Linked DNA regions of Caenorhabditis elegans. The protein of the gene in region 1 interacts with the protein of each later gene in a pairwise test. Each region holds a gene or a part of one and is shown on either strand. Other genes may lie near its edges. The genes, in order: vpr-1 and F26E4.2.

What was found.
Region 2: the proteins of vpr-1 (region 1) and F26E4.2 interact in a two-hybrid assay, tested with the Caenorhabditis elegans proteins (2 studies listed by BioGRID).

The regions. Positions count from the first base shown.
Region 1 is NC_003279.8:5,866,338-5,872,647, reverse strand, and holds vpr-1 (Major sperm protein), read left to right. Parts: upstream 1-2,693; 5' UTR 2,694-2,700; coding exon 2,701-2,875; intron 2,876-3,033; coding exon 3,034-3,319; intron 3,320-3,410; coding exon 3,411-3,558; intron 3,559-3,644; coding exon 3,645-3,773; 3' UTR 3,774-4,382; downstream 4,383-6,310. Other genes in the region: cdc-7 (non-specific serine/threonine protein kinase), read right to left, coding at 1-167, 355-463; F33D11.10 (RNA helicase), read left to right, coding at 4,519-4,854, 4,903-5,574, 5,694-5,885.
Region 2 is NC_003279.8:9,755,830-9,763,463, reverse strand, and holds F26E4.2 (Tnp_DDE_dom domain-containing protein), read left to right. Parts: upstream 1-2,676; 5' UTR 2,677-2,678; coding exon 2,679-2,777; intron 2,778-3,991; coding exon 3,992-4,036; intron 4,037-4,083; coding exon 4,084-4,213; intron 4,214-5,435; coding exon 5,436-5,575; 3' UTR 5,576-5,610; downstream 5,611-7,634. Other genes in the region: putative peptidase C1-like protein F26E4.3, read left to right, coding at 105-359, 407-546, 813-892; Serine/threonine-protein phosphatase 2A regulatory subunit sur-6, read right to left, coding at 6,488-6,616, 6,986-7,160, 7,207-7,343, 7,393-7,517, 7,566-7,634.

The DNA.
Region 1 (6,310 bases):
ATGGAAGAATTCGAAAAGTTTGACAATGTTGAAGTGTCCTCCGAGTTCTGATAGTAATTCCAATTCAATTGATAACATGCTCATTTTTTCAATTCTTCGAATTGCTTTTATTGCTCGTTTCTCTTGAGTTGTTCTGCATGTTGCACTGATTACTGTTCCGAAAGAACCTAAAAATAAGCAATGATTAAAGGATCAATATTTCATTATTTCAAAAATACGCAATCTTCTTTCACCTGCTTGAAAATTCTGATTAGAAGTTTGTTTTCTAGCGTTTTTGCTTTAACTTCAATCTATTTCGTAGCTTATAATAATTTCATATTGCACACAGCTGAAAATTTTCAGCTGGAAACGTACCCTCGCCTATAATATTCTCTTGCAATTGATACTTTCTCTGGAATTTTGCATCGCTAAGCACCGGGCAGTTCTCTTCCCAAATTTTCAGCCGTGACGATTTTATGGACATGAAATTTCAGTCTGAAATAAAGGTTTTACTGTTCAAAACGGAATAATGTTGATTTCCTTCTTTAAAAAAAGACACTAAATAGCGAGAAGTGATTCAGAGAAAAAATAAACGTTGAAATTGAGAAATGCAAAAAATGTGTTTCAAATTTTGCGCCAAAAACAGGCGCGGTGTTTGCGTACGTTACGGCGAAGCTTACGCGCATTGCCACATGCAACATATTTTTAAATTTAGCTTTTTCTTTTGATTTTTTTGGTTTTCCGTTTGAAAATGCTGTAATATCTAGCTGAAAAATATTTATTGAGACGTATTTTGCAAAAATATGTTGCTATTCGTGTACAATACATGTCGAAGCTCCTAAAAAGTGAAATAGATTGTTTTTTGGTGAATAATAGGGATTTTTCACAAATTCGGACTTTTCTTCTCTCTGTACCTTTTCGCCTAGTCTATAACCTGGTTATAAAAATAGTTATTCACTGAGTTTTTTTCGAGTTATTTGAGCTATTTTTGCTCAGCCTGAAACTTCAAGTTTTAATTTTCTAGAAAAGTGCAAATTCCCCAATATTACTTCCATGTGTTTGTGTATATTTCTTCTATTAGCACATTAAAAGAACAAAAATCATTGTGTAAATAACCCCGATTGATTGATAGTTGGAGCCAGTTGTCCTTCTCCCCCTCTTATGTTTCCGATGAGTGTGTGATACGGGAAATATCTGTGTTGTCATGGAGAGTTCTCACATCCGGACGGCAGGAAAACAGAGAAACTAAGTCTAAAGCAGTACCAAGCCGAGGTGCTCTAATTGCGTCTGCACTCTCTCTCTTCCATTCAAATTCGCCGTCCTTTGCACTTTGTTTACGCAGAAGAGGACGTCTTTTTCATTCTAAAAGTCTTCTGTTTCTAGCTTCATCAGATATACATACTGCGACTTGTTAATATTCTTCATATGGATCAAATCTTCCGCTGACGCATAAGGCTATTAACTCAACTTTTTCAATTTCCGTCTCAATCTTTTTCATAAATGAGCTCAAATAATGATTTCAATCAGAGTGAAATTTTAAATATCGAACATTTCTAAACTGCAGCTCTTCTCGTTTTTCAAAAAAAGGTTCAATTGTCTGTTGTTTTGACTTGGAGGTTAATTTATAGGCTCCTGGGGAATACAAAAATTAAGATTTTATTGCATAGAACTGCCTTAGCTTAATCTTCTCTGAGTGCATTTTGCACATTCTACCAGCAAACATCTCATCCTAATTTATTCCATCTTCTTCTCTTATCCCATCGTTTTTTCTTCACGATGCTTGTGTTTTTTCGGTGCCTCTTTCGTCTCCAACAACGTGTTTCTCCTTCTCCAGGACAGCCATTTTCGCTCACACTCGTCCTCCCCTACCAAACGCACACACACACATCGCTCACACGTACACTCACACACTCGAATTATAAGTCAACGAGAGGGAAGAGACGTAGATACACTTTTCCTTCTGCGTCTATTATCTCTTACGCATCTCTCAGGACAACATTTTTTGAAAAACGTGTGCGCTCTCCACGTCTCACCCGAATTCATGTCATCTGACAGCGTTTCAGAATAATTTTTCAATATAATTTGTTATTTTCTCGAATTGGTTCAACCTTTGTTCAATACTGTGCAGTTTTGGACTTATTCGTTGTTAAAATATAGGAAATAATATTATTTTTTTGTTGTGTTTTTCATGTATCGGGTCATCCATCAGTTGCATCTCTACTTTTCTCTCCCCGATTATCAATTGACAAACGTTCAATTACTGGCTGAACAACGTTTTTGATGCCTTTCTGTTTAAATTTTGTTTATGACCTGTGTTGAATACACTCGTCCATATTTTTTTCAAATTTCAAATTCAAGATTATTGAAGACTGTATTTAGAAAGATAGACAAGCATTTGTATAACTTCTACACGATTTCGATTTTTTTTTCGTTTTTCGTTTTGCCAAGAGCAAATACGCTTGCCTCTAGGCACTAAGCACTGGCCAAAACTCAAGAGAAACTGATAACGCTAGAACATACACTGCGACTTTTTCATTTTATAGCTTTTTCGAAATTGCAAATCGAAAAAATATTCGTTTAGTGTTCGGTTTTGTGATGTACGTAAATACCAATAGAAAAAAAACAATTTTTAATTCTTTCGCCTTGATCCAAACTTCCTATCAATCTTTATTTTTTAACATAATTATTTTATATGAACTAACTTTTTTTTTCAGCAAAAAAATGTCTGAAAAGCACAGTCTTCTGCAAGTGACTCCAAATCGTGAACTCGTGTTCACTGGCCCATTCAGTGATGTTGTCACATCACACATGACTCTCAAGAACACATCAACCAATCCAGTGTGCTTCAAAGTGAAAACAACGGCTCCAAAGCAATATTGTGTTCGTCCAAATTCTGGTGAGTGATGGATTTATTTGCATTGAAATCAATTTGATATGGAAAAAGTGAAATTAAACGCAAAAAGAAAAATATGATTTGTATTTAGACCTTATCTGTTAGACTGGTTGATTTTTAAAACTGAAGTTTACTTTGACCTTCTGATTTTGATTTTTTAGGCCTCCTGAAATCTGGTGACTCGAAACAAATCACAGTAATGCTTCAACCTCTGGAAGGAATTCCATCTGATGCAGGACGACATAAGTTTATGGTTCAATCGTGTGTGGCGCCTTCGGAAGATCTGCCAGATTTGGAATCGGTCTGGAAAATAATCGATCCAGCGGAGCTGACCTACAGCAAGCTTATGGTCACCTTCGTTGACAAGAGAGATCCAGCGTCTGGAGATGATACAAAAACCTTTGCGGTTAGGAACGAGGATAGTTTTGCTTCTTCTGGACAGGCACAGTGAGTTTTTACTTATAATGGAGGTTAAAAGAAGGTTAACAATTATTGTTTCCTTCATAAACTTCATTCAATAAAAAACTAATATTTGCAGAGAGCTCGGAAGTTCGTACTCTGGAACACCATCGCATGATGGAACCGTTAACTCCCTTCGCAAATCGTTGAAATCGACAGTTGACGAGAAAGAAGAATTGCAAAAGAAAGTACATGGATTGGAACAAGAAATCGAAGTCATGCTCAAGGTAATATCAGAAAAGAAATTTGAAAAAATTAATTACACTTTGGAAAAAAAAATATGTGTTCAATTTTCTACAAAAAATATTTTCAGAAGAACCGCAAGCTTCAACAATCGCATTCTGATGGAGCTCTTGTCGACGGTGCATACCCAACATTGCAAATTTTCCTTATTGCGGTTGCCGCTTTGCTCATCGGGCTTATTGTTGGCCGTCTTTTCTAAATTCTGAATCAATTCTTCCTTCATTTTCACTTTTAAGTAACTAGTGGTACTATCATTCACGTGCTTTTTTGCTGCCACAAACATTAAAACACACAAGCATTGCTCCATTCGGATTTTCATCAAATTTAACCTTCAAATCCTAAATTTTCTAACTTTTTCTCTGCCAAGGGCGAAATTCTGAATATTTCAAAAATCAAAATGTTATTTTCTGCAATGTAAATTGACATATTTAACTTTTCGGTTTTTTGAAATTTTGAATACTTGCCTCTTTAGTGAACGCAGCGCGCAAAAATTTCAAACTTTTTCTCAAACTACTTTCACTTCTTTCCTTTGTTTATTCGTTTTCCGTTTTTCCCGGCGTCTTCTAGACCATCATAGATCCGTCTAGTGACTGCCTATCATCATACCCGGTAGCCATTATCAAGAATTTTATTTATTTATTTTCCATTCTATGGTTCCCCGTTCCCCCAACCTTTTCTCATTTATTTTATGTGTACAACCATTGATTGATATAGGACTCCATGGATTTTAAGAAAGCCCCATGCTCTTTGAAACAACCAATTTAAGTCACATGATTTGTATATGGTACAATAAAATTTGATGTTTATGGTTTCCAATAACTATTTTTATTTTTGAATTTTTTCGCCGTATTATCTCGGAGTATTTACCTGGAAATTTACGCGACTCGACAATAAAATGTCACTCGAGTGATGTTTAAAATTAATCTTTTTTCAGATTTTCCAAAATGGCTGGTAAAAAAGCAGAAAAAGATGATATGGCAACAGTGGAATTCGAATCTTCTGAAGAAGTAAATGTTATTCCAACATTTGACAAAATGGGTTTGCGAGAAGACCTTCTTCGTGGAATTTATGCCTATGGATTCGAAAAACCATCGGCTATTCAACAAAGAGCAGTTCCAGCAATTCTTAAAGCACGTGACGTCATTGCTCAAGCTCAATCTGGAACCGGAAAGACTGCGACTTTTTCAATTTCCGTTCTTCAATCATTGGATACACAAGTTCGAGAGACACAAGCACTTATTCTTTCTCCAACCAGAGAATTGGCTGTCCAGATTCAAAAAGTATGGATATAATAAATACAGAGTTGCAATAAAAAACACATTTTGCAGGTAGTTCTTGCTCTCGGAGACTATATGAATGTTCAATGTCATGCCTGTATCGGAGGAACAAATCTCGGAGAAGACATTCGCAAATTGGATTACGGTCAACACGTGGTTTCTGGTACTCCAGGACGAGTATTTGATATGATTCGCCGTCGTAATCTTCGTACCCGAGCGATCAAGCTTCTGGTTCTTGACGAAGCCGATGAAATGCTGAATAAAGGTTTCAAGGAGCAGTTGTACGATATCTACCGATATCTTCCACCTGGAGCACAAGTCGTACTTCTGTCAGCCACACTGCCTCATGAAATTCTAGAGATGACCAGTAAATTCATGACAGATCCTATCAGAATTCTTGTGAAACGTGATGAACTGACACTTGAAGGAATCAAGCAATTCTTCGTTGCAGTTGACAGAGAAGAATGGAAGTTCGACACTCTTATTGATCTTTATGATACTCTTACCATCACACAGGCTGTACTATTCTGTAATACCCGTAGAAAGGTTGATTGGTTGACGGATAAAATGAAGGAAGCCAACTTCACAGTGTCATCAATGCACGGAGATATGGAACAGAAGGATCGTGATGAAGTTATGAAAGAGTTCAGAGCAGGAACAACGAGAGTGCTCATTTCAACTGATGTTTGGGCGAGAGGATTAGATGTTCCACAAGTCTCGTTGGTAAGATTTTTTTTTAGTTTCTTCTCGATTTGTAATAAATTAAAATGATTAGTTTTGCAAAAAACCAGCAAAAAAAAGTTGTCATGAAATATAGACAATTCAGTAAAAACTTTTTTCAGGTTATCAACTATGATCTTCCAAACAATCGTGAATTATACATTCATCGTATTGGTCGTTCTGGACGTTTCGGACGCAAGGGAGTCGCCATCAACTTTGTGAAGCAAGATGATGTCAGAATTCTGCGAGACATTGAGCAATACTATTCGACACAAATCGACGAAATGCCCATGAATATTGCGGATATCATTTGAAGAAAGATATATTTTCGCTCACCTCATGTTTTAATTTATTTTGTTTTTGTTTTCTTTGTTTTGAAAATCCTTATCAATTATTTCTTTTATTTTAATCCTACAAAGATCTCCTTTGAATCCTTCATGATACTAAGACCCAAATACTATCCAACGGAGATTTTTAAAAATCTGAACAGTAATTTGAATAAATGGAGATCTTAATTTTCTTTTCAATATTTTTATGTAAGCCAGTAGAAACTTCTCTAATATTCAAAAATATCGGAAAATAACCAATTTCTAATTTTCGGCGTGATATTCACGTGAATTTATACTAACAAAAAAAACATTTCAGAAAAAAATCAACTCTACGAAGGCTTCACGTGGAATATCATTGCATTGTGGGTTTTTAAATATTAAATTTTTCTTTTATTATTTTATGTTTGATT
Region 2 (7,634 bases), 3.9 Mb from region 1:
CGAAAGAAAACATCAAATTTAAAAATAATATCTTTGAAACATATATAAATTACTTTTTAATTTTATCTGCATGTTGAGAAATCTAAAATCCGTCATATTTTCAGAAATCGACAAGGACTTCGGTGTCCAAGTGGATCTCAAGATAGTACCGCTTTTAAAATGACTCCGCCGTACAAAGTGTCAAGTCGTGAGGAAGATATTCAAACTGAACTTATGACAAATGGCCCAGTACAAGCAACTTTTGTAGTTCACGAGGATTTCTTTATGTATGCTGGAGGAGTTTATCAACATTCTGATCTTGCTGCTCAAAAAGGAGCATCTTCCGTTGCAGAGGGATATCATTCGGTTCGAGTTTTGGGGTGAGAACTAACTTTCAATTAGAGTAAAAGACCAAAACAAATTGCAGATGGGGAGTTGATCACTCAACAGGAAAACCAATCAAATACTGGTTGTGTGCCAATTCATGGGGAACTCAGTGGGGAGAAGATGGATATTTCAAAGTTTTAAGAGGAGAGAATCATTGTGAAATTGAAAGCTTTGTTATTGGTGAGTTTAGAAACTATTGAAGTTCACGAGGCTCTACGAACTTTGGCAACTTTCTATCAAATTTTGGAAATCTTCTGAAAAATTTTCTCTCAAGCTTTGGTAACCTCCGGTACAATTTTGGTAATTTTCTGACGACTATTAGAAACTTATAACTTTTTGCAAAATTTTGGAAATTTTCTTCAATCCTGGTAACGTATGAATATTTGCTCAAATGAATTGTTACATTTTGTAAAGGAATTTATCTTCGAACAAATATCAAATTACAGGAGCCTGGGGCAAAGGATCAAAACGACGAAGGCGATTCAAGATGAGAAAACTTCGACGATTCAGGAAGATGTTCAAATAAAAACTGGAGATTACTTTAGATTTGTTTATGTTTCACCTTCTTCCCCGTCCATCTTTCTATAATAATCTCACTGCCATCGCAGGGTTTTCAAATCTCTTTTTTTTTTCTACGCCAATAATTTCCACGCAGAGTTACCTTGACTATTCGCCTAATAAATATCGCTTTTGACACAAAATACTATAATTTTTCAATAACAATTATAATTTTATCACAACTGTATGGGGATGGAAAACCCAAAATCATTGACACCTATTCTCACTAGAAACCACACCCTTCGTGCCCGAGAGAAAGCGAAAAAAAGTAATGAAAAAAGTCGGTGAATCATTCGAGTGGTATTCTATTCACTTTTTTTAGAATTATAAAACGTTTTTCTGATAAAATTAATTAAAAATATAGTTATGGTAAGTATGTTGGGATACTCGAGGTAAAAACTTGAGTGTTTTTGTGGTTTCAGGGAACTTTTTCATGGAAAAAATGTAGACTTTTGAAAGTTTTCTCAATAAAGAAAAAAAACTTTTAGGACGCCTAGAAGGCAGATAGACATTTGTGTGCATTTACAGATGTGAAAAATACGGTGCCAGCATGCGATCGAAAAGTTGTTTTGCAAAAAAAGAGCATGAGTCTTTAAACAGTATTGTACTGCTCTTTGTTTGCCAAGTCCTGTTTTTTTTCTAGTTGTGAAAAATCAGAGAATAGGAAGACCTTTGCGAAAAAATGGAGAACCTGGTACTTTATTTTTTCATCAAAAATAGTTTTACGCAACTGATAATAACTGATAATATATTAGTTCCTTAAGCCCATAGTCATGCAAAGTTCTGCCATATGTTTGTTTTTCAATCAGAATCAGTTGCATGTTTTGGCTAAACAAATTTCGATTGTAGTTGCGTATATACGTGTGTTTGCCCATGTTTCCAATAGTATGTGACCTTAATCACTCAAATTGTTCAGTTAACATTACATAAACAAAAAGAATATCATCTTGTCTACATTGTAGATGCTTTTATTTATATTTTAAAACTTTCTTTGGCTTTCAAAGTTACACAACTAGAGGTGTTATGCAAAGTTGAATATTACTATATTAGTGTTAGATTTCAGGATAGCAGATATATAAGTAGCCAGATTTACCGGAAGCCTGTAATTTAACTTTTAACGAACCATTTAAACTGCGCCAGCTTATCTATATCCTCTGAAAAATAAACAAAAAAGTATATTTGTTTAATTGGTGTTGCATTGAAATAAGTCAGAAATTTTTCACAGAGTTTAGAATAAAAGGACAGATAAGTTTTCTCATAAACTTTCGCGATGAGACCCATCTTAATTAATCTGTGCGCCTTTAATTAAGCGTCTCAAAAATTACGAAATTGCACTACATCAAAACAAAAAAACCAATTCAATTGCGAGTTGATCTATCACATGGTCACCGCCAACATGTAGATCAAATGGTCTTTCCATCAATTAACTATTTTTTTCAATTCTGACTCATTCTACTCGAAACCCCATCTCTCTTACATCTCCACCCAATACCCCCCCCCCCAGTTTTCCGTCGATGACAAATTATCCCCAAAAAATGTTAATTTGATATGACACCGTTTTGGCGGTGTTTAGTGATAACTTGAGGAATGAAGAGACGCCTAGGGAAATGAAGAAAGATCGATTCTTCCGACCCTTTTTCTCTTTTTTCAAGTACCGCCTCCATTTTGTTCATTTTCCTCTTCAATTCCTGCTTTATTGTTATTATTTTCTAAAATTTTCGAGAATCTAATTGTTAATTTATGTTTTAATACAGATGATCAATATCTTCAATTCTCCAATTGATCCATCACAACTTGATGAATTTGCACAAGGAAAACAACAGGAAGATGGTGATGAACAAATTTTCGATGTGGTAAGATATTCTGAAATAATTTTGTCAAGTTATAGAATTCGTTGAGAATAAAATAAGTACGCTGAACATCCTTTGCTTTGGTCAATTTCATTAGATTTAACCACTTGTTCCTGTTTTGTCTGTAAATTTCTGAACATGTGTCTCATGTACATAGACCAAAAAAATTATGTAGTTCAAAAAAGGAAATTCATCAAAATAAATTTTAAGTTCCACTATTTACTTAAATGCGAATGTTTTTATATTTTCAAATATTTTGCCAAAAACTTCTTGAGAATTACTAATTATTCTTCCATTTACATACAACTATCGACTTAACTTACAAGACAAATTATATCTCGTTTCATTTTTAGATATTAAAATATTATTAATTACAAAACTATAGAAGAAGTGATGAAAAACATTTTGTCAGTTGACATTTAAAAAAAGACAACCGACATCTGAGCTGTCAAAGTTCAAAAATTTCTTGCAAGGCTATAATATGGTAAATCATAATTGTATTCATTTCCAATATATCCGATATATCCGATATATCCAGTCTATAAAAAATCATTGCATTTTCACTTTTTTATTTGGAAGTTTTCAAATAATATTTTTTGATATGAAAGAAATGGAATCGCATACTTCCTCTTTAATAAATCGATCGCTTTGTTTATCAGGCATTAATCTTCTAAAGTTACGTCTCACATCTCAAAGATCAACTCATTTTACGTCTATTTTAATACCCTAATTCATGTTTTCAAACGTTCTTCCAAAAAAGTCTTTTTCAAGAGTCTGTCTTGTGCTCTGATATTTGCAAATTGTAAGATATTACAAGATTCCAAGAACTGTGGCAATTCTTTTTTAAATTCAATGATAAGCTTGCAAATCTGAAATAATTTAGACAATGAGTTTACGTCGCCGATTTTTGTAGTTTCTGGTATCAAATTAGTGTTCAAATTAGTATTTTGTGTTCCTCTTCTGGCGTCATTAATCTTACAAATTTGTATCAAACAATCATTCGAAATTATCGTTTTTGTTGTTTGTGTTTAATCCTATGCTTTTGGAAATTTACTGTACAATTTAGCGACTACTTCCATTCTGGGAATTTGAATTTTAGCAAGGAGAAAATTCAAACCCACCGAGGCTCAGTCCGCCTACTCTTGCTCAAAAAAGTGGAAAATTTGTTGAATGAAAACTAGAAAAAAAAACAAAAGTATATGCAAAATCATTTCCAGAAGAAGCGCAAACCACAAGTGACATACAGTGGTGATGGGCGGCGAGTGAGTTTTTGATATTTTTGCTATTAGTCTGAAATATAATTTATCAGATGTTGGATGGTGTTGTCGAAAAACAACATGAATCAAATGCTCTTTGGACAACTGCAATTACAAGAGGAGTTGCAAATGAATGGCGTGAAGAAGCAACTGGTACACGTCTTCAGAAGACAAAGAGATATCGTGAGTTCAATTCAAGTTTTTGAATAATTTCAATCGATTAATTAATATTCAGTAGACGACAACTGCTCTAGAAGGATTTTTAGTTATCATACTATTATACCAATGGGGTTTCTGAAAATTATCTGAATTTTTTTTTGCAATATTCTTTAGTAAATTGTCGAGAATCTATTTATTTTTGTTTCAAGATGGAGTTTGGAAAATAGGGATTTAGTCTTAAAATTCTCGGAATATTCCAATATGTCAGGTAGAGTTTGTGGAGTCAGAAGTCGTTGATTGATCCAAAAGTGTACATGAATTCATATTTTGGAAGAAATTCAAACAGGGAATTAGCGAATTTTTTGAAGTTGGCAATGTACATCTTTCACTGTTTTTATCAGTTTTCTTTTGCGATATTTTAGCATATCGATTCCGAGTACATTAAAACTACCCAATTTCCGAACTCCACCCTTAAAAATATTTTCGAACAATTGAAATATAAAAAACTTTAAAAAATTGAAACTGCACAGGAAATGCACATATTATTTTTTGTGTATTTTCCCTTACCCTCAAGAAAATTCGCCATGTGTACTAAACAAATCAGCCGTATGTTTTCTGTCTTGACAACACCTTAGAGGATTATCTTGTTTTTGTAGATGTAAATGTTAACTAATAATATCAATTGTCCGAAAGAGAGTTTCGATTTAAAAATAAAAATGTCAGAATTTGGATTAAGGATTAAATATAGTTTTCTCCTTTTTTTGTCTATGGAAATGATATTTATCAAGTCAAAAGGAATCAAAGTATAAATAATTCATCGATTCGATTTATCTATTTTTTAAAGTTATAACTTTTGTACTTTTTTCAAAACAAAATCCAACGTAATATAATCGATTTTTTTCAATTAATTATTCTCTTATACATCCGCGTCAAAAATACGGTACGCGGCCTCGACACGACAAATTTTAGTTAAATGCGAAATGTTGTGCGCCTTTAAAGAGTACTGTAATTTCAAACTATGATTGCTTCGGAATTTTCATCGAGTTTTTTTTTAAATTTTTTCTAATTATTTGTTCAAAATTATGCTTTTATTGTTATATTCCATTTTTCTAACTATGCAATTCGGTGAAAATTCAGCAGCAGCAATAGTTTGAAATTACAGTAATCTTTAAAGGCGCGCACATTTTCGCATTTATAAATTTGTCGTGTCGAGACACCAATAATATATTTTTCTAATTTATTTCAGTCTCCAAAGTCACATATGATGCACAAGTACTAGTACGTCAAACATATCGTCGCCATGGAACTGAAATCCTCATCGCCACAAATGTGATACTATTATTATTGTTTTTGTACATTTGTCGACTATTTCCATTCAATAAATGAGTTTTTATGATTGGAAAATAAATATTGCTTACAATTTTATGGGAAAAGGAAGACTTAATGATGAGACACACCCACGGGGATTTAATGATGAAGAAATATGAGGGAAGTAATACAAAAATTTATGTCAAGATTCTTGATTTGAAAGTTTGTAATTTTGTGACAGACAAACGAACAGAGAAAGTGGAGAGAAAATAACTAAAGTCGGAAAAATTTCAAAAATTTTTTGGGCGATTTTTATAGTTTTCAAAATTACAGAATGGAGCTAACAAGGTGAGAATAATACCTTCACACGCTTTCAAACAAGAGGATTAAGTCGTGAAACACATTGTGAATCTAACAGGAGAAATCATCCTAAAAGTGGGAGAGACACGACCCGAATGATTCGGGGTTAAGGATCTACAGTTATCTTTTTAAAAGTGGTGGTGGAAGAGACAAGAAAGAGAACACTGGAGTTGAAGAGTGAGGGAAAAGTATAGAAAACGGGCCACGTAATTCAAGAATGATATGAGAGGATAGAGAGAGGGAGAGAGTAAAGAAAAAGAAGCTATAAGAATAATAAAGTACAACTCTATCTCAAATTGGAAGCAAAAGACAACTTTAACAGTTGAAAAATAGAAACCAACTAAGAGCTTATTCCTGTTTTACTTCAAAAATTTACGATGACGAAGGATTTGAAAGAAAGAAAGCGAGTAACATTGAATACGCGATTAAATGTCTATAAGTCGACATGAGGACTACGAAAACGGGAAAGAAGGGACGGGATTTGAGAAAGAATTGACTCACAAAAATATGGGGAAAATATGAAAAAAAAATTTAGAGTTATATGAATGTGATATTTGAGGATAAATTGAGAAAAAGGGAAAATGATGATTGGGGGAGGACGAAATCCAACAAGTTTACGAAAACAATAATTTAAACATCTGAGAAGATGTAGAGATTGTTAGTGGCAGCAAGAGCAATGATGTTATCCTTTGGATGCCATGCTGTGTGCAATATTTTACGATCAAATTGAAGTTGATCAGATGAAAGATCCTCTTCGGTCTGTAAATTGGGTTTTTGTTGATTTTGAAGTAAGATATGTTTATCATATTTTCACGAGAGTTTAACATGCATTCTTAAAGGTGCACGGATGTATTCAGATGAGTCTTGGCGATCAAGAAAATTTACGGTTGTGCTTTTATTTTATGCGGCTGATTCCTCGTTTATTTTACATTTTCAATAAAATTACGTCGTTTAAAGTGTATTTTTAGCGAAAAAATGTCGCTAAATACGAAGTAATTATATTGAAAAATAAAAAATAAACGAGAAGCAGTCGCATAAAATAAAAATAAAAACTACCATAAACTTTTTTTGCGCGCAGAGACCCATTTAAACATGAAGACGTTTTTTTAAATTTAATTGAAATCTTACCGTTTCACCGCTTGATGACAGATTGTTTCTCTTCCGTTTCGCTGATGGTACAACAAATCGAGATCGGAGCTGTGAATGTGGTTCTTGAGGCCGAGCTTCCCAAGTTTTCGCATCTTGGTTATTGCCACGAGCATATGAACGGAACAGATTATGATACGAACCCGTGAGAATATGTCTGCAAAAAGAAAATTATAATATGAAAAAGTACTGCAATTAATTACTTGTCATCTCCACTCCAATCGCACTCGAATTTATCGAAAATTGAATCATTTTCGTAGAGTGCACAGAGTTTTGTTCGTAAATAATTGTGCACTGGATATGTCTCTACCGGTTGTGATTCCATGTTCAAATCCCACACCTGAAATATAAAAGTTGTTCAAATTTTCTTTTTAATTATTAATAATTACCTTGACAGTAAGATAGTCCCTCGTAAGCAAGTACCTTCCATTATGTGAGAATTTGACGTCACTAACAGATGCAATAATCTCCGAGAAGAAAGATCGAGATTGAGGGTCTTCTGGTTCCTCGAAAACTGCAAATTAATATTATTTATATAATCAATACACAGAACCAAACGCACTTTTAGCATACGCATCACATAGAGCACGATCTCTCATATCACACAATCGAATAGATCCTTTTGATGAAG